3 linked regions of the Callithrix jacchus genome follow. The protein of the gene in region 3 purifies or fractionates together with the protein of the main gene of each other region. This does not show direct contact. Links are inferred from orthologs where the notes say so. Each region holds a gene or a part of one and is shown on either strand. Other genes may lie near its edges.

What was found.
Region 1: the proteins of RB1 (region 3) and E2F3 purify together in Homo sapiens (affinity purification with western blotting; 9 studies listed by BioGRID and IntAct, with this or other methods). This does not show direct contact. The link is inferred for Callithrix jacchus from reciprocal best matches to the Homo sapiens genes RB1 and E2F3.
Region 2: the proteins of RB1 (region 3) and TFDP2 purify together in Homo sapiens (affinity purification with mass spectrometry; 4 studies listed by BioGRID and IntAct, counting the BioPlex papers as one, with this or other methods). This does not show direct contact. The link is inferred for Callithrix jacchus from reciprocal best matches to the Homo sapiens genes RB1 and TFDP2.

The regions. Positions count from the first base shown.
Region 1 is NC_133505.1:10,299,518-10,307,389, forward strand, and holds part of E2F3 (transcription factor E2F3), read right to left. Parts: intron 3,702-7,872; coding exon 3,587-3,701; intron 2,291-3,586; coding exon 2,155-2,290; intron 1-2,154.
Region 2 is NC_133518.1:42,564,916-42,572,787, reverse strand, and holds part of TFDP2 (transcription factor Dp-2), read right to left. Parts: intron 5,069-7,872; coding exon 4,922-5,068; intron 1,074-4,921; coding exon 1,005-1,073; intron 1-1,004. UniProt on the Homo sapiens protein: Can stimulate E2F-dependent transcription.
Region 3 is NC_133502.1:67,632,234-67,640,105, forward strand, and holds part of RB1 (retinoblastoma-associated protein), read right to left. Parts: intron 5,983-7,872; coding exon 5,856-5,982; intron 1-5,855. UniProt on the Homo sapiens protein: Tumor suppressor that is a key regulator of the G1/S transition of the cell cycle. The hypophosphorylated form binds transcription regulators of the E2F family, preventing transcription of E2F-responsive genes.

The DNA.
Region 1 (7,872 bases), on a different chromosome or scaffold from region 3:
TTCTGGAAGAATGTATATGTCGCTGTCAGAAAAAAGCGTGTACTTTCTGCAAATAACAACGATGAGATGACTCTGTGACCCAGATCACCTTTTATGCTAACAGGTACAAAAAAATTCCTTGTCAGCACCTCACCTTTTATTTTTGAGACAGGGTCTTGTTCTGTCGGCTGGAGTGCAGTGGTGTGATCATGACTCACTGTAGTCTTGAACTCCTGGGCTCAAGGGACCCTCCCACCTCAGCCTCCCAAGTAGCTGGGACCACAGGTGTGAGCCACCATGCCTGGTTTATCTTTGTATTTTTTTTTTTTGAGACGAAGTTTCATTCTTGTTGCCCCGGCTAGAGTGCAATGGCACAGTCTCAGCTTACTGCAATATCTGCCTCCCAGGTTCAAGCAATTCTCTTGCCTCAGCATTCTAAGTAGCTGGGATTAGAGGCACCAGCGAGTATACCCAGCTAATTTTTGTATTTTTAGTAGAGAGGCAGTTTCACCATGTTGGCCAGGCTGGTATCGAACTCCTGATCTCAGGTGATCTGCCCATCTAGGCCTCCCAAGGGCTGAGATTACAGGCATGAGCCACCACGCCTGGATAGTCTTTGTATTTCTTTGTAGAGACAGGGTTTCACCATGTTGCTCAGTCTGGTCTCGAACTCCTAGGCTCAAGTGATCTTACCTTCCTCAGCCTTCCAAAGTGCCGAGTCACCCCGCCCGGCCATCTTTCTGTGGCCCTAGTCTACTCAATCATCTTCCAAATAGCTACTGTCAATAAGCAAGAATGCAGATAGCTTCAATGATCAGAGGCTAACAAGTTCAAAAATGTCTCTCTGCTAACTAGTCACTGTTTTAAGAAAATCAAAACAAAACATATACATACTGAAAAGCTGGCTTCCCAGTAGAAACTCACCAACTGAAAAAAAAATTTATTTTATTTTATTTTTTTAAGAGAAGGGGTCTTGCCACATTGTCTATGCTGGTGTGCAGTGGCTATTCACAGGCATGCGGGGCTCACTCTAGCCTTGAATTCCTGGGCTCAAGCTGCCTCAGCCTCCCTGTAGCTCAAACTACATGCAGAATCACTGCTTTTAACTCAGTCTTTTCTGAACAACCAGCTTATTAAAAACATCTCTAAAAGCACATATAATAAGACATGTCCACCTTGGATTTCTGTGGTGAAAAAAGATGGCCTTTAGTTTTGCCATTTCAGGTGCTGTACTTTTGCTTAGTATTAAATCAGACTTAGTCACTTAAATCAACCTTATTCTTGCTGCTATATAGGGAGACAATCAGGAAAAAAAATTGCATATATATTCCCAAGCCAGGAAATGGAAAAGAATATATACTGCAAAGAGCTTCCTTTGCTCTTTGCAGAGTGGGAAGGAAAACTTAGACGTACTTTCCTAGTGTTCTCCTCCCATGTCCTTTCCCCATCTCATTGGGGGGAAAAATAAGACAAAAATTCTTCAACAAAGGCTTTTCTCTTCAAACTTTTTTTTTTTTTTAAATATGGTGTCTCGCTCTGTCGCCCAGGCTGGAGTGCAGTGGCGCCATCTCGGGTCACTGCAACCTCCACCACCTGGTTTCAAGCAATTCCCTTTCTCAGCCTCCCAAGTAGCTGGGATTACAGGCGCCCACTGCTACGCCCAGCTAATTTTTGTATTTTTAGTAGCATGGGGTTTCACCATCTTGGCCAGGCTGGTTTTGAATTCCTGACCTCGGGATCCAACCGCCTCGGCCTCCCAAAGTGCTGGGATTACAGACGTGAGCCACCGCTCCTGGTCTTTTCAAGCCTTTTTCGTTTCCCTCTCTGATGAGCTGTGCAGTGTCACTCAAAGGAGTGTGCTCAAGTGTCTCTGATGATCCACCAAGACAGTTCACAGCTTTGCTCCTCACTTCAGCTGGTTTTCAAAAATGCTGCAAGGAAACGTTCTCTGCCAACAGCAAATGCCCGAAGCCACTCCCTGAGTGGGTGAAGGAGCCGTTTTCCCCAAATCATTATTTTATTCTGTAAACCAGCCAGAATGTCTTTTAAAATATGTTACCTAATAACAATACAAGGTTTTGTTTCTTGACTAGGCTTGTGGTTCCAATACAGACAGTTCCAGTCACCTTCATTTTTAACATAGTTTCCAAAAGACAAAAGTGGAATTCTTCTTACCTTTGGAAGTGGGTTTAGGGATATTCCCATTGTGGTCTTGGTTGCTTGTTTTCATTGGACTGTGTGTTTCAGTCTCTTCTGGACATAAGTAAACCTCAATGGGCCCTTGGGTACTTGCCAAATGTATTTGTAGGCTCTAGAACAGAAGTGGGAGAAGTTTGAATCAGAAGTTCTTTTAGAAATAAAAGCCATAGTAATTTTCATCTAAAAATGGAAAGTAAGAACAACGTTCATTGTTCACTTGCTTCTTCTCTGCTAGTCCAACTCTATCAAAGACTGTCATCTTCTAGCGCAGGGGTCAGCAAACCATAGCCTAAGGGCCAAATCCAGTTCACCCACTGGGTTTGTAAATAAAGTTTTATTGGAAGAGAGTCACACCCATTTCCATTGTTTATTATTGCCTCTGGCTGTTTTCATATTACAATGGCAGAGGTGCACAGCTGAATAGTGTGCAGACCGTAAGGCTCACAAAGCAAAAGATATTTACAATCTACCTGGCACTTTAATTAAAAAGTTTGCTGAGTCTTGCTCTAGAGAAAGAAAATTTTTTTGTGGGGAGCAGGGAGTCAGTCTGAAAATGGCACAATGGGTGAGGTGAATTGTGTTCTTTGGATATATTCTTTTTCTGTAAATTATTAAAAGGTCTTTTAAATGTTCCAAATCCAGTATTTCCATGTTATTGTTCCTTTATGGTAGGACTTCTTCATGTTGAACTGTAATAACCAAGTGATGTATTCTTAAGTGCTAGGAACTGCATCTATGAAGAGAATGCAGCACACTAACATTTAAAAATCTTTTTCATCTAGGTCAAAGAGCTATTATTATCTTTTAAGGCAAGAAGTCTACCCTGGATGGAAGCATGTAACTTTCATTCTCTTTTTATCTCCTATGCATTTTCTTTTTACTACATCTCTTTATGTCATACTTGTAGTCTAGGCTCTATTATCCAAGTATATCTGAAAATCGTAAAACTATGCCCCCTACTTTCTTACAATATTCTGGTCTATCAACTAACCCAAAGCCCCGTTTGATCTCTTAAAATGTTATAAGTTAGAGAGAGACTTTAAAACATTTATATATCTGTTCGTGGTGCAAACCATATACAGGATAATCCATATAAACTTTTCAAAGTGGTTCAAGTTGATCAAAACCACCTGATGATGAATTATGAGAAAGAGAGAGTACAAGAGGGACAGGGCATCATATTCCACTTTGCACTGAACATCCCGCTAGGTCACAGTTAGATTGTCTGCATACTCAATGGATATCAAACTGTTAAAATGTTTTTAAGCGTATGATTAAATGAAATGAATTGGAAAGAACCATCAAGTTCTTGGGGTAGGGGGACAGACTTTAACTATGAGTCAATGACTCTTCAATTTCAGGCATTCCAAAAGATCTCCGCAGATGAACAAAGATGCTGTCTCCTTACCTCTATTGAGTCAGGCACTTCAAGTCTTGTTTCTGGAGGGGCTTTCACAACTATAACAGTTTGGTCTTTAAGGCCACTAATTTTTCGAATATCTTGATATGTAACATAAGCTAACGTAAAGAGTGTCAAGGAATCTTCCATCTAATGACCTCAGATATAAGTAAGATGAAAATGACAAAATAGATGCATAGAATATTTCAAAGTATTTTATGACTTAAAAGTATACATATGTCTTCCCTTCTGGACCTGGAAGTGCTTAGGGCCTCCCATGAAACTTCTTTTCTGGTTGACACTCTAAGCAACTAAAGAAATGAACAGCTTTATCCCACCCATTTCTTTCTTTTTTTTTTTTTTTTTGAGATGGAATTTTGCTCTTGTTGCCCAGGCTGGAGTGCAATGGCAGGATCTCGGCTCACTGCAACCTCCGCCTCACAGGTTCAAGTGATTCTTCTGCCTCAGCCTCCCAAGTAGCTGGGATTACAGGCACGCACCACCATGCCCAGCTAATTCTGTATTTTCAGTAGAGACAGGGGTTTTTCTGTATTGGTCAGGCTGGTCTCGAACTCTCAACCTCAGCTGATCTGCCCAACTCGGCCTCCCAAAGTGTTAAGAATATGGGTGTGAGCCACTGTGCCCGGCCTATCCCACCCATTTCTAAAAAGACTGTGGCTATTTAAAATATTAAACACACAAACAGAATAGTTAAAATAAATGATCATATGAAAATCAAAAACCACTTAGGTGAGAACTTTTATCTTGAAGCCACAGTACTTGGCAGCACAGATATTCGATGAACGCCAATCAAGTGTTCTGTTACTCAAACTGAATGATGGCAGATTTCAATTTGCAGGGAAAAAAAAGTTAATCTCTATTAGCCGTAATTTTTTTGAAACTCCAGTTACTTCTATCTGTAAGCAAGTGTCAGCAGCCACCAAACAAATAAATAAGTAACAGATATGTTAGTGGAAGAACTCAGATACTGCTCAGGCAGACAGCTTGTTTTCTTAAGTGTTCCAGGGCTGCTTGTGATTTTGTATTGCTTACAAAGAGCGTCATTATTTCTGTTAGAAAAATCATCCTTTGGTACTATGCTGACTCCATCAATATTTCAGCGTTCACGGGGAAGAAAACAGTTTCCAGGTGCTCTGCGAAACACTGATGTAGGAAGTAACTACCAGGAGTACTGAGATAGTATTCTTTTTTTTTTTTTATTTTAAAATATAATTTCTTTTTTCTTTTTTTTTCTTTTTTATTGCATTTTAGGTTTTGGGGTACATGTGCAGAACATCCAAGACAGTTGCATAGGTACACACATGGCAGTGAGTTTTGCTTCCTTTCTCCCCTTCACCCATATTTGGCATTTCTCCCCAGGCTATCCCTCCCCAGCTGGCCCTCCCCTTTTCCCCCCAATAGACCCCAGTGTTTAGTACTCCCCTCCCTGTGTCCATGTGTTCTCATTTTTCATCACCCGCCTGAGTGACAATATGCGGTATTTCATTTTCTGTTCTTGTGTCAGTTTGCTGAGAATGATGTTCTCCAGATTCATCCATGTCCCTACAAACGACACGAACTCATCATTTCTGATTGCTGCATAATATTCCATGGTGTATATGTGCCACATTTTCCCAGTCCAGTCTATCATCAATGGGCATTTGGGTTGGTTCCAGGTCTTTGCTATTGTAAACAGTGCTGCAATGAACATTCGTGTGCGTGTGTCCTTATAGTAGAACGATTTATAGTCCTTTGGATAGTATTCTTTCCTCTTTAGAAACACTGATTTAGGAAAAGAGAAAAGAATACTATCTCAGTACTCTTGGTAGTTACTTCTTTTTTCTTTTTGAGACAGAGTCTTGCTCTGTCACCCAGGCTGGAGTGCAGTGGCGGAATCTCAGCTCACTGCAACTTCCACCTCCCATATTCAAGCTATTCTTGTGCCTCAGCTTGCCTCCTGAGCAGCTGGGACGAGAGGTACGCACCACCACACCTGACTAATTTTTTGTATTTTAAAAGAGATGGTGTTTCAGCATTTTGCTCAGGCTGGTCTTAAACTCTTGGCCTCAAGTGATCCCTGCCTCCAGCCTCCCCAAGTGCTGGGATTACAGGTGTGAGCCACTGTGCCTGGCCTTGGCAGTTTTTCTCTAAGCACTGAACAATTCTTTAAAATGTCCTGGCAGCCAAGTCTAAAGGCTATCATGAAAGAACATGGTACTTATGATATGCCAAAAGTATTGAAGTGAGCTTGACACTTGGCACTAAAAAAGAAAAGTCTGCATGGCTTTCTTAAATAAGGGACATGGAGTAAACAATTAATGGACAGTGTCTTTAGCCAGTTATTATTTTTTATATGAACGAAAAATTCCTAACACAACAAGTAACAAACCAACGAAGGCATTTCAGCAGCTAGTATAATGTATATAATAGCTGAGAGTCTGTGATCTAATATGCTTAATATTTTTTTAAAGGGGGCGGGGCTTAGAGAGCCTAGAAGAAATTACGTCCCTTACAATAGTAGCTCTTTTTTGTTTGAGATGGAGTCCCACTCTGTCACCCAGACTGGAGTGCAGTGGCTCCGTCTCAGCTCACTGCCACCTCTGTCTCCCAGGTTCAAGCGAATTACGTGCCTCAGCCTCCCAAGAAGCTGGGATTACAGGCGCCTGCCACCGTGCCTGGCTAATTTTCTGTATTTTTAGTAGAGACGGGGTTTCACCATGTTGGCCAAGCTGGTCTTGAACTCCTGACCTTGAGTGATCCGTCCGCCTCAGCCTCCCAAAGTTCTGGGATCACAGGGGTGAGCCACCATGCCCAGCTATAGTAGCTTCTTATTAGAAACTGAAGGCAGCTATGAAACTACTCCTCTAGGAAAAAAAGCACATTCACACAAAAGCTGCATACACATGTAGAGCATCTATCAGACCATCTCCTTCAAATCTTTGTTGTTGAGTTGATGGCTAGTTCAGTGTTGAGCTGATAGTGGCTGCTCTTGCAGGATTCTGGATTTTAGGTCACTACATATACCATCAAAGAAGCCAACGGATGCCTTTATAGAGGGCCAGGCAGTTCTAAATTTTACTGACAATCAGGTACTTACACTACAGCCCACTGTCAAAAAAGCGGTATGACAAGAACTTAGTGAAATAAAAACTCATCGCTTCTCGGCCTTTTGGCTAAGATCGAGTGTCATAGAAAAACTCATCTACAATTACTCAACATGCTGCAGGAAGGAAAATTTCAACACATTTGTGAACAAGCTGTACCGATTTGGGAACTGAATGGTGAATTGAAATACATTGTGCAAATATATTTTCTAATCTTACAAACTTAAAAGTGCTTCCTTTGCGGCTCCCTCCCAAATTTACTCCTTAGGTTCTAAGTTCCCTGCAAGGAAGCTTTCATTTTCTGTAACAAAGGCCCCAGAGAAAGCTAATATAGGTGACAATGCCATAGGCCACATGTCCCGGAAGGCTGCCAGTCACGTGTAACCACCCGTCTCTTCCACAATGGGGCTCCTAACCAAACAGTGAATATAACAGCCCAACCGTTGGTTTCTTCCCCTATAAACCCACTTTGCCCACCACTGGGGGTCCGAATCACTACACCTCTCTTCCATCTCACTAATTATTGGCTGACAAGGTTAATTCTTTGGTCAACAGGAAATCAACAACTGCAGCTTTGAAAAACTGCCAACATTGGAAGAAAATAAATACCTGCATATCCTCCAAGGGGGAGCCTGTAAAAGATGAACCACTAGAAGAATCTGGGCAGAACGCAACTTTTGTCAAATAATGGCAAATGTGGGATCATGGGAACTTTGGAACTAAATCTAGGGATGCGATAACCTCTAGTATTGTCTTTTGCCTTCTAATAACGGAGAATGCTGGCGAGTCTTCTTGTTTGACATAATGAGGCGATCTCTCCCTCGTTTGACATAACGAGGTGATCTCTCTCTTGTTTCGTCTGTAGTCAGGTGATAAAGAGCAAGTTTTCCTGAGATCATCAACAGATTGTCCGGAAGCTGAGAACAAGAACTGACCTTGTGTATTTTATTTCCAAGGACTCATGTTCGGAGTGGAACAGATGAATTGAAAGGAGTTTCTCAGGTCTTGGGGGGTGCTTCTGAAATCAATTTTTTGTACTGGGAATCGGCAGAGTACACTTTAAGAGTTACAGTATAATTGTTCTCTACTCTTTCGAACCCTTTATAGCCCAATCAGATAGATTCAACCAATTTCAATTGCTACAGTATCTGGCGAAAAGAAAATAGAATGTGAGAACCCCAACAGTGACAG
Region 2 (7,872 bases), on a different chromosome or scaffold from region 3:
TTTACTACTTGAAGTAAATGTTTACACCAACTGCAGTCACCAAAAATAGAAGAAGAAAAAAATCCATCTACCCTGTGATTTTATCTCCCATGCTTTTATACAAGGACCCTATTATACTCACGAAAACCCTCTAAATTCTGGGAAATTACCCGAAAAAGTATAAACACAGAGATCTTTATTAAGCTATAAATTTTAATTTTCTTAAAAATGCTTTTAAGTTTTGCTATTTCTTTTTCTTTCTTCTTTTTTTTTTTGGCGGGGGGGGGGGCATGGAGTCTTCCCCTGTCACCCAGGCTGAAGTACACTGGCATGATCTTGGCTCACTGCAACCTCTGCCTCCCGGGTTCAAGCGATTCTCCTGCCTTAGCCTCTTGAGTAACTGGGGTTACAGGTGCATGCCACCACACTCAACTAATTTTTTTTTTTTTTTTTTTTTTAAGTAGACATGGGTTTCACCATGTTGGCCAGGCTGATCTCCAACTTCTGACCTCAGGGATCCACCCGCCTTGATCTCCCAAAGTGCTAGAATTACAGGCTTGAGCCACCGTGCCCAGCCTAAGTTTTGGTATTTCTATAAATCTTACTGAATTATTTCATGCAATTCTGTCATTTACTGATAAAATAAGTATTAAAGGCAGATTTGATTACTGTACTTGAAGTACCTAAAATTTAGCCTCACTAGTGGATATGCCGAATTAGGGCTAAAATCAAAAAGACCCCTGACAGTTTATGTTTACAGAGGGCTGAGTGTCAACAGTGGACTGCTGCCAGGTATAAGTCACACACAGGGCAGGGAAGCTGCTGTGGAGCTGAGATGATGGCAAGAGATGGGACCATCGGAAGGCAGAGCATGTGGATGACAATGAGCTAGGAGGCGAAAGGGGCTGCCCTGGTGTGGGCCCACCACACACCACTCAGAGGCACCACAATTAGAAAACACACCGACTCCAAGATGAAGGAAGTGGAGAAACAGGGAAGGTAATGAAAACATCTCACATCTTTACCTGTAGGAGAAGTTCTTGCAGCTGGGCCCGCTTCTGCTTTATCCGTTCTATCCGCCTCTGCTTTTCTATCTTTAAAACATTGGTTACAAAATAACGTGAACATAGGTAGAGTATAAAGTATTCACTTTCCAGGTCCCTATTCTGAGATAACAATTCTTCCTAGAGAAACTCAACCCATCTTAACAATATGAATAAAGATAAATCACATCTTTGCAGGGGGCAGGGGTTGGAGTGAACAAGCAGGCACAGCATCAGATCTATGGCAACTATCATCAAAAATGAAACCACACACTTAATAAATACTTCTTAGCAGTACTTGTTGCAATTATTATTCAAGTTCTAATCAAAGTAATAATACCACTTAGATTATCCTTACTCTGTCTGCCAACACAAAAGTATGCATTTTATACGCATAGAGGGCTCCATTTCCAAGGTCACACAGCTAGTGAATAGCCAGAGCCAAGATTTGAACCTAAGCCCTCTGGTTACAACAGGGACTCTATATTAATTACTTTGCTATATTACTCCTCAAAGAACAAGGCAAGATCTTATTTTGGTTTCAGTTTAGCTGACTTTCCAATGAGTACAGCTGATAATAGCTATCTCACACATTCAATATACAATTCCTACTTGTAATAAGAAACATGCTAGGCCAGGCGCTGTGGCTCACACCTATAATCCCAGCACTTCAGGAGGCTGAGGAGGGCGAATGCACTTAAGATCAGTAGTTTGGGACCAGCCTGGCCAATCCAGTGAAACCCCACCTCTACAAAAAATACAAAATTAAGTCAGGTATGGTGGCGTGTGTCTGCAGTCCCAGCTACTTGGGAGTCTGAGACGCAAGAAACGCTTGAACCCAGCAGATGGAGGTTGCAGTGAGTCGAGATTGCGCCACTGCACTCCAGCCTGGGCGACAGAGCAAGACTCTGTCTCAAAAAAAGAGGGGAGGGGGGAGGAGAAAAGAAAAGAAATATGCTTGATAGACAAATTTTCCAGCTTCAAACAACTGCTTTTTTTTCCTCTCTCTCAATCTGATAACTACTTTGAGAAAACAGACATTAGGGTCTGAACTTCCTTGCAGCTGAGTTCCTCAATGTCTCCTTGGGCAAAGCCAATGACATCTGTTAGGAAAATTTATGGGAGCCCATTGGTTGGGACTGAGCTCCTGCACTAGGCCCAACAGAACAAACTAAAATAGAGTCACTCATGCTGAAGTTCCATGCCAAAACTAAGTTGTTTATCTGACCTAGGAAATCAGGAGAGAAAGAGAGAATAGCGAACTACCCCAACACGCCAGTTTTAGCTGGCATGGTAAGAGAGTCTTCTCTGTTTTAACCTTACAAGGAAAGTGACATTGAAATGTCCAATCTGCTTTTTGTTCTGTTTCTGTGTCTATCCACCTTTGCTGCTTCTCTATCTTAAAACACTATGGCCAGGCATGGTGGCTCACGCCTGTAATCCCAGCACTTTGGGAGGCTGAGGTGGGTAGATCATGAGGTCAAGAGATCGAGACCATCCTGGTCAACATGGTGAAACCCCGTCTCTATTAAAAATACAAAAAGAAAAAATTAGCTGGACATGGTGGCCTGTAATCCCAGCTACTCAGGAGGCTGAGGCAGGAGAATTACCTGAACCCAGGAGGCGGAGCTTGCGGTGAGTCGAGATCGTGCCATTGCACTCCAGCCTGGGTAACAAGAGAGAAACTCCGTCTCCAAAAAAAAAAAAAAACAAAAAAAAAAAAACCCAACAACAAACCACTGAAGAACGTTAACCTCTTCTGCTCAGCTTATCGGAGGAACACTCTTTCTACTTAATAATGAGGTGTTACAAGATTCTAGAATCACAAATAAAAGCCAATTAAATAGAATCTTTAAATTTGTTACCATTTTGTCTTTCAATCATGAAATGAAACATTTTTCTCTCTGCTCCAGCAGATAATCTCTTTGCTTGCTCCCATCCAGTCTAGTGTGTACTAGGAGTTTCCATTCATGGTTCCTCTATCCACTACCATGCTTTACTCCTAAATTAAGATTCACTGGAAAATTTGTGTGGTGTTCTGCATTTGAAAAGATGTTGTAGGAGCATCCCTTGCATCAGAAGCTCTGACAAGCCAGGCCCCCCTACCTGTCCCTCATCCAACCAGGTCAAGCTGCACTGATTCCACCTCTAAAACACCTCTCCAATCTCATGGCCACTGCTGTAACTCAGACTATCTAAATTCCCCTCCTTCATTCCATTTCCTTCCCTATCTACCTATTAATTTTACTTTCAACCCACTGGCAGAGTGATCCTTTAAAAAACATCCTATCAACCCTTCTCTTTGTAATTTATCAACTGCTTCCCATTGTTTACAGGATCAGGCCCCCACTGCTTAACACTTAGCTATCTGTCCCCCTTTCTCCATGCCTGTTCCCTGGCCACACCCAGGTCCAGGTATGCTTTTTCATGCCTATCTCAGTCCATGTAGCACCTTTGCCTGGAAGGCCCTCCCCACCCTTATCCACTTGGCAAACTACTCCCATCTCATGCCTGAGCTCATGTATTATTTCCTTGGTAAAGCCCTCCCTCATCCCTCTTTGCAGAGAATCTGTACATTTCTTTTACAGGAATAATCACATTTTTAGTAACTCTTTTACATTTCTCTTCTCCCCAGTTGGAATGACAGTTTCTTGGTGTCAGAGATTTGCCTTGTATAACCTGTGGTTAAGCACAAGGTAGATGTGAATAGGTTTTTTTGCTTAATGAGTCTGTAGTATTAGCTCAGTATTACTGATCATGAAAATGATGCTCAAATTCCACTCTATCACAAGGAAGAAAAACAAGAAAAGGTTATTTCCACTCTAGCATATAAAAAATATTCTTTAGCTTCTGATGAATCTCTGGTTTCTTTCTCCATCCAGAAGTATAATACTAAATAACTTATTTGCTGGGGGGAAAAAAGACTGAGAAAAACAGGAAATCAATCTTAATGATCTCCCAAAGCTATATAATAATAATTATTTTTTTTTTTTGAGATGGAGTCTTGCTGTTGTCACCCAGGCTGGAGTGCAATGGCACGATCTTGGTTCACTATAACCTCCGCCTCCCAGGTTCAAGTTATTTTCCTGCCTCAGCCTTCTGAATAGCTGGGATTACAGGTGTACACCACTATGCCCAGCTAATTTTTGTATTTTTAGTAGAGGAGGGGTTTCATCATGTTGGCCAGGCTGGTTTTGAACTCCTGACCTCAGGTGATCCTCCCGCCTTGGCCTCCCAAAGCGCTGGGATTACAGGCTTAAGCCACCGTGCCATATTTAACCTCAGTTTACTCCATTTATGGCCATGATAGCAAAATTATGTAAAGTCAATTTAGAAACAGTATGTCAGGGAACATGTTCATTTAGGGAGAACTTCCTATAATGTTTAAAGTTAACAGAATTTAAAATGCTTCTGCACACATCATTCAAAAATTCTATCAATTCTGGCAAAGACACAAATGAAACGCCATTTATTCTGTTGCTACTAGTTCTAAAGTCAAATGCAAAAGTCTGACTTTCATAGCTGTAGTCAGAATATTGTGTAACCAATAAAGGAAATAAACAGCCAGCTTGATCCATTTTTTTTTTATACATACAGCCAGCATCTCATTAAAAAAAGTGTACTAGTAGAGCACTCAGGATTAAATTCGAATAAAATAAAAATCTTCTCTAAGAAACAGAAAAATCAAATTGTTATTTAACTTTTATATCTCTCTGTTTCATCATTTACCAATTAAACTGTAGAATATACCAATTCTAAAATTCTATAGTCTGTTAAAAAATGACATAGTATACATGAACAGTTGAAAATTTTATATTACATGAGCATATTTTTAAATTAAAATGCCTCTGATGTAAAATAATGCAAACAGCTATTCATAAACAGATTTTCTCACTTACCTCCAGATTCTGACATTCCTGAGCAGAATTGGTAGGTAGGCCAATCCACTTAATTTCTTTTTTTTCCTTTGAAATTATGTTCATTGCCATTAGTACATTTAAAGCATCATAAACTCTTCGCCTAATGTTCTTCTGATCGTAAGCCTGCTAAAAAGTATTTTATTGAGTGATAAATTTTAAGGGTTAAGTCACATGATATTAACATATCAAATTAATACTACATCTTCAAAGTGCTGGAATAATTCTATTTTTTTATTTAGCTAATTGACGAAGACATCCAAAAGAATTTTATATTCTGTGAAAATATCCTTCAAAATTAAAGATGAAATAATATTGTTTGAAAATACTTTCAAACAATATAAAACAAAATAATCTTAAAAATAAAGATCATGTTACCCACAGATCTACACTGAAATATACTTAAGGGATTACTTCAGGTAAAGAAATATCATCTAAGATGGGAGCTTAGAGATGAAGGATAGAATGAAGACCAACTCAAAAGTTAAGTATGTGGGTAAATCTCAGTTCTCACGGTATAAAACAATAATCATGTCTTATGGAGTCTAGAATAAATACAGAACTTAATATACATGACTACAAATAGCATATATATTAACTGAAAAAGGTATTGGAGGTAAAGTATTCTAAGGCCTTGCATTGTCTGAGAGGATTTTAGACTTTAAAAAAATCAAGGACACTTATTCAAATTCTGGACAAAACTGTGCTTCTCAAAATGTGTTCCTTGAACACTGCTGATCTGCAAACTGTTTCCAATTTACAATGAGACTCAGAACTTGCACCAAAATATAATCCTCTATGTCACAAGGGACACCATTCAGTTCAGCTGACCTTTTCTTTCTTTTTTTCTTCTTTTCTTGATAGCAAGACTTACTCAATGAAGGAAACTGTTGGTTTACATTGTGGAACAAAGTCCTCATGAAATGTAATGATAACAAAGGATGGAGGAGAACACTGAATCCACCTAAATATAAAACTAGATCTAAATAAGTGGGAGATTTAAGTTATAGAACTGAATATACTAGACATTTTGACACTGGGCTGGGAGCAGTGGCTTATGCTTGTAATCCCAGCACTTGGAGAGGCTGAGGCGGGCAGATCATCTGAGGTCATGAGTTCAAGACCAAGCCTCACCAACATAGCGAAGAAAAAATACAAAACCTAGCTTGGCATGGTGGCATGCGCCTATTATCCCAGCTACTAGGGAGGCTGAGGCAGGAGAATTGCTTGAATCCAGGAGGTGAAATTGCAATGAGCCGAGATTGCGCCACTGCACTCCAGCCTGGGTGACAGAGTAAGACTCCATCTTAAAAAAAAAAAAAAAAAAAAGGAAATATTGACATTATAGAAAAAAATGATACTATAAGAAGTACCAGGAGGAGGAAATGCAGTAGGTATGCCAATTTCCTCTTTTTGATACTGGAAGGGATACGGATATTGTTCAAAGCAGATTAAATAATTATAAAAGGTTCAGCACGATCTGTTGATTTAAAGTAATACAAACAATTCTAATAGTATTATTATTGTTTTTCCGAGACAGAGTCTTGCTCTGTCACCAGGCTGGAGTGCATGGCACCATCTAGGCTCACTGCAAACTCTGCCTCCTGGGTTCAAATGATTCTCCTGCCTCAGCCTCCCGAGTAGCTGAAATTATAGGTGCGTACCACCATGTTGGCCAGGCTGGTGTCAAACTTTTGACCTTGTGATTGATCCACCTGCCTCGGCCTCCCAAAGTGCTGGGATTATACGCGTGAACCACTGTGCCTGGCCTGTAATAGTATTCTTATTCTTTTAACAAATATACTAAAATATCTAATCTGAATCTTATGGTAGAAGAGAAAAATGGAAGATAAAAATAAACATACATTTTTCTTCATAACCAATAGACACTGTCTACAGGTGATAACTCAAGGAACTTAAGTTATAAAGGTAACCAACTGAAGAACTAGAGACTACAAGCACCCTAAATCATCAGAAAAATCACAAAGCAGTGAACAAAGAGGGGAAAAACTCAACCTTTGTTTGTATCCTGGGAAGGTGGTGGTGTTCGGGTATTAATAAAAATGTATTTTATATGTTGAAAAGTACTAAGAAGAAATGCTTCATTGTGGTGACAGGTGAGTGGAGATCACAGGGCATGGAGGGAGAAGCCATATGGATACATAGCACAGAGTGCTCTAGGCAAAGGAAACAGCAAGTGCAATGGCCCGATCAGGAACAAAACATGTAGCTGGAGCGTAGTGACATGTGGCTGGAGGATAGTAAATGAGAAAGTGCACAGGAGAGGACAAGATTAGTGAGGTAATGGTGGGCAAGATCACAAAGCAGCTTGTAGCTCATTGTTAGAACCAAGGCTTTCACTCAGAAACAGAATGCTATATACTTTTCTTTTTTTTTTTTTGAGACAGAGTTTCACTTTTGCTACCCAGGCTGGAGTGCAATGGTGCGATCTCGGCTCACCGCAACCTCCGCCTCCTGGGTTCAGGCAATTCTCCTGCCTCAGCCTCCTGAGTAGCTGGGATTAAAGGCACGTGCCACCATGCCCAGCTAATTTTTTTGTATTTTTAGTAGAGATGGGGTTTCACCATGTTGACCAGGATGGTCTCAATCTCTTGACCTCATGATTCACCCGCCTCAGCCTCCCAAAGTGCTGGGATTACAGGCTTGAGCCACCGTGCCCGGCCCTATATTTTTCTTTTTCAAGTGGTTAGAGAACATTAAAAGGAAAGAAAATCACTATATCATGGCTCCCAAGGAAAAAATATAATCCACAGAAAAGGGAAATAGTTCAAATCATATTATCTGGTCAAATTAAGTATGAAAAGTAAAACTTTAAGGCAACAAATAAGCAAAAAAAGAAAAGAAAAACATTTGTAACTATAAGAACTCTTTCTAAGGCAATTCTTAGATCAAAGAACAAATTCAATCCAAAA
Region 3 (7,872 bases):
ACGATAATTAACGCAAAAAAAAAAAAAAAATCCAAGACTTACAAGTAAGAACTAAAAACTGTATTACTCAGAAGAAAGCATAGAATAAGCTATTGTGACCTTGGGTTAGTCAAGGCCTCCTTAGATATAACATCAAAAGCCCAAGCAACCATAAAACAAACAAACAAAAACAGAAAACTAGACTTCATCAAAATTAAAATCCTATGCTGCAAATGACATCAACAAGAAAGTGAAAAGGTAACTCACAGAATGGGGGGAAATGTCTGCAAATAATATAACTTACAAGAGACTTACATAAAGAAGCAGCTTTAACTGCACCTTAAAAACAGAATTTAGGCTAAAGGGAGGAAAAAAAAATGGTATTCCAAAAAGGGGGAGTTAGCCTGAATATGAATACTAAAGGAGGAGGACACAGGTATTGGGAGCCATCAATGGAAATAAAAAAATAAGACTGGAAGGAAGGTTAAAGTACAGTCTATGGAGAACTACAAATACTAGGACAGTTTGGACTTTATTTCTTCATAATGGGTGGTGGGAACACAGGTGGGTATTACAATAGAGGCTACTGAAGAGTGGATTGTGACAATAAAAAATAAATTTCAAAGCAAAAGGGGCAAACAGTAAACCAGTCTTTTCAAAAAATCAGGCACCAGGATGGATTGGATGGAGAAAACAAGGGACTAGTCAGAAAGAGGCACTAAAACATGCAATAAAAATGCTTCAGTCAATGACATAAGCTTCCACCTTCTGAAATTTAAAAAAATAAAGAGGAAATTAAAGCCAAAGCAAACTAAAAACAAAGCACTGCTGGTAAGAGAAAGGAAGGGACAGATGTGAGAGGTAATGCAAAAAGATAATTTGAGACTGAATGGATAGGTTTAAAATGGAAGGAGTATGGTATAGTTTCAATTAGTCCTGTGGATAGAACTCAGTAAACAAATTACTAAGGTAAACCTGTAAGGAAAGCAAATGATAATGTAAAATTCCACTTCTTCCTAGATTGCAGAAAGCTGCAAAGAGTATTGCTTCCACCCGTACAAGAACAAGCCGGATAAGGAATAAAAACATACCCTTTCTTGAACTTAACATATCCTTTCTTTATATTTCAAATTATTTAGTTTCACCTATAAAAAGGAACCTCCAATGAGAGAATATATATGAATAATGGTTCGTCTGTGGCACAGCATGAAAGGAAGAGACACAGGGAACCCTAACAAAAGTAAAAAGAATTCAGTTAAATTTTTAATGAATGCTGATTACAAAACAACAACAAATCCATTTAAATATAAAAAAGAAATATGTTAAAATCAAAATGAAGGTAAAAGATATACAATGTAAAGATTGATCATAAGAAAAGTGGAATGGATATGTGAACATTGCAGAACAAAAGATAAAAATATGGATTAAAAAAGCACATTACATAATGATAAAGGTACCAATTTACCTAAAAGGCATAAAAATTCTAAACTTGTATGCACCCAAGAATAAAGCTTTAAAATACATCAATAAAGGCTGGATGTGGTAGCTCCCAGCAATTTGGGAGACCAAGGCAGGTGGATCATGAGGTCAGGAGTTCAACATCAGCCTGACTGACATGGTGAAACCCCATGTCTCTACTAAAAATACAAAAATTAGCCTGGCGTGATGGTGCACACCTATATATAATCCCAGCTACTCAGGAGGCTAAGGCAGGAGAATCACTTGAACCCAGGAGGCAGAGGTTGCAGTGAGCTGAGATGGCACCATTGCACTCCAGCCTGGCCGACGTTGAGATTTCGTCCCCAAAAAAAAAAAAAAAAATTTATTAATAGAAAACAGAATTTTAAAAGACCATTCTAATTACAGTTGGAGACTTCATATTTCTTTCTCAATAACCAGTAAAACGCAAAGAAAGAAAATCATTAAAGATATGGACAATCTAAGTCACCTAGTCTGTGGTATTTTGTTATGGCAGTCCTAGTAGACAAAGACAGATTTGGGTACTAGGAAGTAGGGTGCTGCTGTAAAAAAAACTTAGAAGTGGCTTTGGAAATGCATAATGGTAGAGGCTGGAAAAGTTTCAATGTACATGTTGGAAAAAGCCTAGACTGCCTTGCAGAGAGGCTCTTGGTAGAAATATGAACATTAAAGATCCTTCCGGTGAGGTATCTGGTAGAAATGAGGAACATATTATTGGACACTGGAGAAAAGGTGATCTGGGTTTAAAAAAGGAAAACAAATTGGCTGAATTGTGTTCTAGTATTTTGTGGAAGGTAGAGTTTGTGATGAAGTTGGATATTTAACTGAGACTTCTGAACTATGTGTTGAAAGTAAAGTCTGATTTCTTCTGCTTACAGTAAAATGTGAGGACAGAGGTGGGTTTTTTTGGTGTGTGTGTGTGTGACAGAGTTTTGCTCTTGTTGCCCAGGCTGAAGTCCAATGAGGCGATCTTGGTTCGCTGCAACCTCCACCTCCCAGGTTCAAATGATTCTCTTGCCTCAGCCTCCTGCGTAGCTGGGATTACAGGCACCCACCACCTAGCCCAGCTAATTTTTGTGTTTTTAGTAGAGATGGGGTTTCACCACATTGGCCAGGCTGGTCTCAAATTCCTGACCTCAGGTGATCAGCCCACCTCAGCCTCCCAAAGTGCTGCGATTACAGGCGTGAGCCACTGCGCTTGGCCAAGGATAGATATTTTAAAAAGAATTGTTAAGCAAACAGGTACCAACACTTGAAGACTTGGAAAATATCAACCTATCCATATCACAAAAAAATGAGAAAGTGTGTTTTCAAAAGAACATCAAGGATAGACAATTTGACAAAGAAATTATAGGTTTTGGACTCATAGATCTAATCTCCCAATTCAGCAGAAATGCTGTCAGCTTAGACTAAAGGGGAAAAAAACAGACAAAATGAAGAAAGGCTGTTAGACTTCTGGGATTCTACAGAAGAGGATAATCTCACTAACCAGCTGTAAGCATGTTTTATGTATGCATAAACAAGTTTTCTGACCCTAAAGTACTTAAAAATAAGAATTTTAACAACCATACTACATCAAAATAGCTACAATGCATTTAAATTTTTAACCATTTTAACTAATACCCTAAGTTCTCCTTAAAAAAAAGTACATTAATGATAAAATGTTCCAGGGCAATTCTTAAGTAAAATTATTCTGTTTGCCATACCTAACATACACATTCGTTGACTCTAACAAGAGCTTTATATGCATTAATTTATTTAATCTGCACAGTAACTCCCCAAGATCCAGAAATTATTGTCAGTTCCTTTTACAGATAAGAAAACTAAGGCTTGAAAACTGTAAGTAACATGTTCAGGATCATGGAGCTAGTAAGTGGTATATCTGCTTGACTCTTAATCCTTACTCTTAACCCATCCATCCTCTATCCCAATAAACATCACCTACTTTCTACTGTCAAAAGGGTTTCCTTTTTGAAGGTTAAATTCTCAGGCCAACGCTCAAAAACTTAACTGCACTTAAAATCATATTTCAAGGACATCATCTTCTGCCATACCCTTCAAAAGCATACCTCAAATCCCAAAAGTAACATGAAATTCCTTTCTTACCTTCCTCCAGTACCTAGCCATAAATAATTTCACACATCCTAGTCCCCATCACAAGCTCCATTAGAAAATAAGATTTAAACTGGGCTAGTTCCCAGGGAAGGTAGAGACAAAGCCGGGATTTAAAAAGGGCAATAAAACAGTAACATTTGCATATATATATATTTTTTTTTTCAAATCTGAAGCTCAAAAAAGATTTTACTGTTAAAACTTTTATTGTTATAGTTCAGTACAAAAAAATAAGTTATGTGAACTAGGCTGGAAACCTAACTACAATATCACACTTGCAAACAGATTTGGAACACAATGCACTTATAAATTGAAAACTATAGTATGTATATACACTAATACTCTCTATAATCAGCCATCCCTTCCAAAATTTCTGAACACTAAAAATCTATTATTTTAGGAAGAGAAAAGTGAAGGCGCTCTGATCCGTTTAACTGTATATGCACAAAAACAGCTTTGTACATGAAGTTCCCAAGTCAGTTAAAATATAAATTAGATGCCTGGGGATTATAACACCCAAGTCATACATTCAAGATACTCAGTAATCCTCTCTTTTTAGATAAGAAGTATAAGACTATGTTCAATTCTTTGGAAATTACAACAGTTGTTTTCTCTTTTTTACTGCCAGAGATTTTTTTTTAATGGTTTTAAACAGTTTTCTTATAGGACATAAATAAACACATTTTGCTCTGTTAATCTGATCAGTAAAAACAGATACTCTTACACTACTATACTGAGACGGTAAATTCATTAAAAGTATCTGTCTGAAATGTAATCTAGCAATAATCATCAAGAGTTCATAGCTTTTGATGCAGTAATTCAACTTAAAAGAATTTATTCTAATAAAATAATCAGATATTCATTCATTAATTTATTTAACAAATTATCAAGGACTCACTTTGTACCAAGCATTACTCTTATGAATACATAGTTTATTACATTATTTTACAGCATCAAAAAGTTGGAAAAAGCCCAAATGTCCAATAATGGTGAGAGTTAACAAATTAAAATACATCCAATAGCTAAAATATAATACTCTCACTAGAAACTATATTAGAAAAAAAATTTAATAACATAAGAAAATGGTCATATTAGGAAAAAACAAGAAAATACAAAACTATGTAACTACACGTAATTATACATAACTATATATAATCTCAAATTTATATTTGAGATCTTATTTTCTAGGGACAAGGTTCTTATTTTTCTAGGGTCAAGTTACTCAACCGCACTCTACTTTGGTGTCTTCATCTTTAAAATGAAGATTTCACATAAAATAGAGATTTTATATTTCATATATCAATGGTCTTAAAATGAGTTATCTGTATATTTCTAAAGTTCTTTTTTTTTTCCTTTTTGAGATAGAGTCTTGCTTTGTTGCCCAGTCTGGAGTGCAGTGGCATTATCTTGCCTCACTGCAACCTTTGCTTCGCAGGTTCAAGCAACTCTCCTGCCTCAACCTCCCAAGTAGCCGGGATTACAGGCATCCACCACGATACCTGGCTATTTTTTGTATTTTTAGTAGAGATGGGGTTTCACCATGTTGGCCAGGCTGGTCTTGAACTCCTCAAGTGATCACCCACCTCGACCTCCCAAAGTACTGGGATTATAGGTTTGAGCCACTGTGTCCAGACTTATTTTTTTATTTTTTGGCAACAGGGTCTTGCTTTGTTGCCCAGGCTGCAGTGCAGTGGTGTGATCTTGGCTCACTATAACCTCCGCCTCCCAGGTTCAAGTAATCCTCCCACCTCAGCCTCCCAAGTAGCTGGGATTACAGGCATGCACCCCCACACCCAGCTATGTAAAGTTCTTATACTATTCCCCCAGTACATATAAAATACTGGTAATTTTTTGCTGCTGTTATTAAACATACACATATATACATATGCAAAGAAAAAATGAAAAGAATATATCAAAATATTTTCAAGATCCTGAATTCTAACAAAATTAATTATAAGACAATTAGGAAATCTGAACAGTGACTGCATATTAGAAGGTATACAAATTATTTTATAAGGTATGGTGGTTTTTTTTAAAAAGTCCTTGTATTATAGTGAATAAAATATAACTAAGACCTGCATTAAAATAGTTTGGTGGGAGGCATATATAGCGAGATTTTTTCCAAACATTTTTAATGTTACAAGAGGTAAATATCCTCTGAGTAATGGAATTATAATTAGCTTTTATTGTCTTTATATTTTTCTATCTTTCAATTTTCGTATAGTGATTTGAAGTTGTTTTTTAAATGAGAAAAAAAATTCAGAATGTTTTAAGAAAATCCTTACCAATACTCCATCCACAGATGAAACTTTCTCCCAAGTTAACCAAGCTCTCTCTCTGACATGATCTGGTATCTTTAATTTCTGACATAACGCTGTAAAATCAGGTTCTTCAGTTTCTTCAAACTCAACCCTATCAAATGAAAATAATCATATAATTGGCATATACTTATAAATCATATTAATTCAGTAAACACTTGTTTCAATAGTTTACACATTATAGCACTATTGTAAAAGAGAACATTACTAAATATCTTGAGATCTTATTTTACCTTAGAAAGAAATTATATTTCGAATTTAAATGTATCATTATCTTTTTCATGGTCATTGAAAAATAAGGCTACCACACAGTGAGAAATATTTGCTTGCATGGTGAGTCAAATATACTTTAGAGCAGCAAAACACTCCTGCAAAGGAAAGTAAATGTAATAGCTAAAGCTGTTTGGGAAAACAGCATAAGCATAACAACAAAAATATTAAAAACCCAAAGATAATATTATACAATTTAATGGCAGTAACTTTGCTAAACTGTAGTCTACTCTTATCAATGTTTCATATAATCTCTCTACCTACTAGCACATCTTACATGATGATACTGACTGCTTATTTTTGTCCTTTCTCCTTAACAAAGACAAGCATTCAATAAATTCTTGTTGGCTAATTCCTTTCATTCATCGAATATCTATGTGACATCTAATAATAATAGTATGAAGAATAATTAATAATTTTTCAGTATTTACTATGACCCTGTAGAAAGTACCTTAGACATACGGTTTCACAGAATCCCCATATCAGCCCTTTTAGATAAGTGTTCTCATCTGTGAAAGTAAACATTTACAGATATCTATCAAATCAGAGAAGTTAAAGAACTTATCAGAGGTCTCAGCCAGTAAGAGGTAAACCACCATGTGACCCCAACAGTCTAACTTCATAATCCATGTCCCTGACCACTATTCTTGACTGCCAATTCCTCCTTCAAAACATAATTAGTTTTCTTTTCTTTTTTTTTTTTTTTTTTTTTTGAGTTCGGGTGTCACTCTGTCACCCAGGCTAGAATGCAGTGGTAAAATCATAGCTCACTGCAGCCGTAAACTCCTGAGCTCAAGGGATCCTCCCACCTCAGCCTCCTGAGTAGATGGGACTACAGGCATGCCACATGACTGGCTAATATTTTAAAAAATTTTTGTAGAGACAGGGTCTTGTTTTGTTGCCCAAGCTCCTCTCAAAATCCTGGCCTCAACCAATCTTTCCACCTCAGCCTCCCAAAGTGCTGGCATTACAGGTGTGAGCCAACATGCCTGGTCAGCTTTTTTGTTTGTTTTTTTTAAAGACTGGGGTCTTTGTTGCCCAGGATGGTCTCCAACTCCCAAGCTGAAGCGATCCTCCTGACTCAGCCTCCTGAGTAGTACGGACTACAGGTACATGCCATCACATCCAGCTCAAAACCTTCTACTATTTCAACAATGAAGGTGGTATGCTATTCCTAATGAGTTTCCCTTCCAGCTACATTACTTAGGCCAGAGATAAGGCAACAGAAATAAGATCTCAACTCTCAAATTAGAAATGGAATCTGTCACTAGAAGGGCAGTTGGAGTGAGCCCTGATTCCATCTCCAGGCAAGATGCTGCTCAGCATCAGACTGCAGGTTAGTGGTTCTACCCTTGCTCATTTAGAGTTTAACTGTCTATGTTAATTAAACCCTCGGTGGGTACAGATAAACAAGAACAGACTGTATCTTGCATGGTTTTGACTTACAAGATAATTTTTTATGGTTCCATTACTTAAAATATATAAAATAATGAGTTAAAAAATGAAAGAAACACAATCCTCTTTTTTCCAAACAGTAGCCAGAACCTCAATATTCTAGCTACCCTACATTAGAGTATGCTTCCAAAGCTATGTGCATAACATGGAATTCTTTAGAGTAGCCATTACTGCATTTTCCCAAGGGAACTTTGGAAGAATTGGACATATCAGAATTTAATCAGAAAGTAAAGTCATGTCTTTTCTCAGAACATGCCCC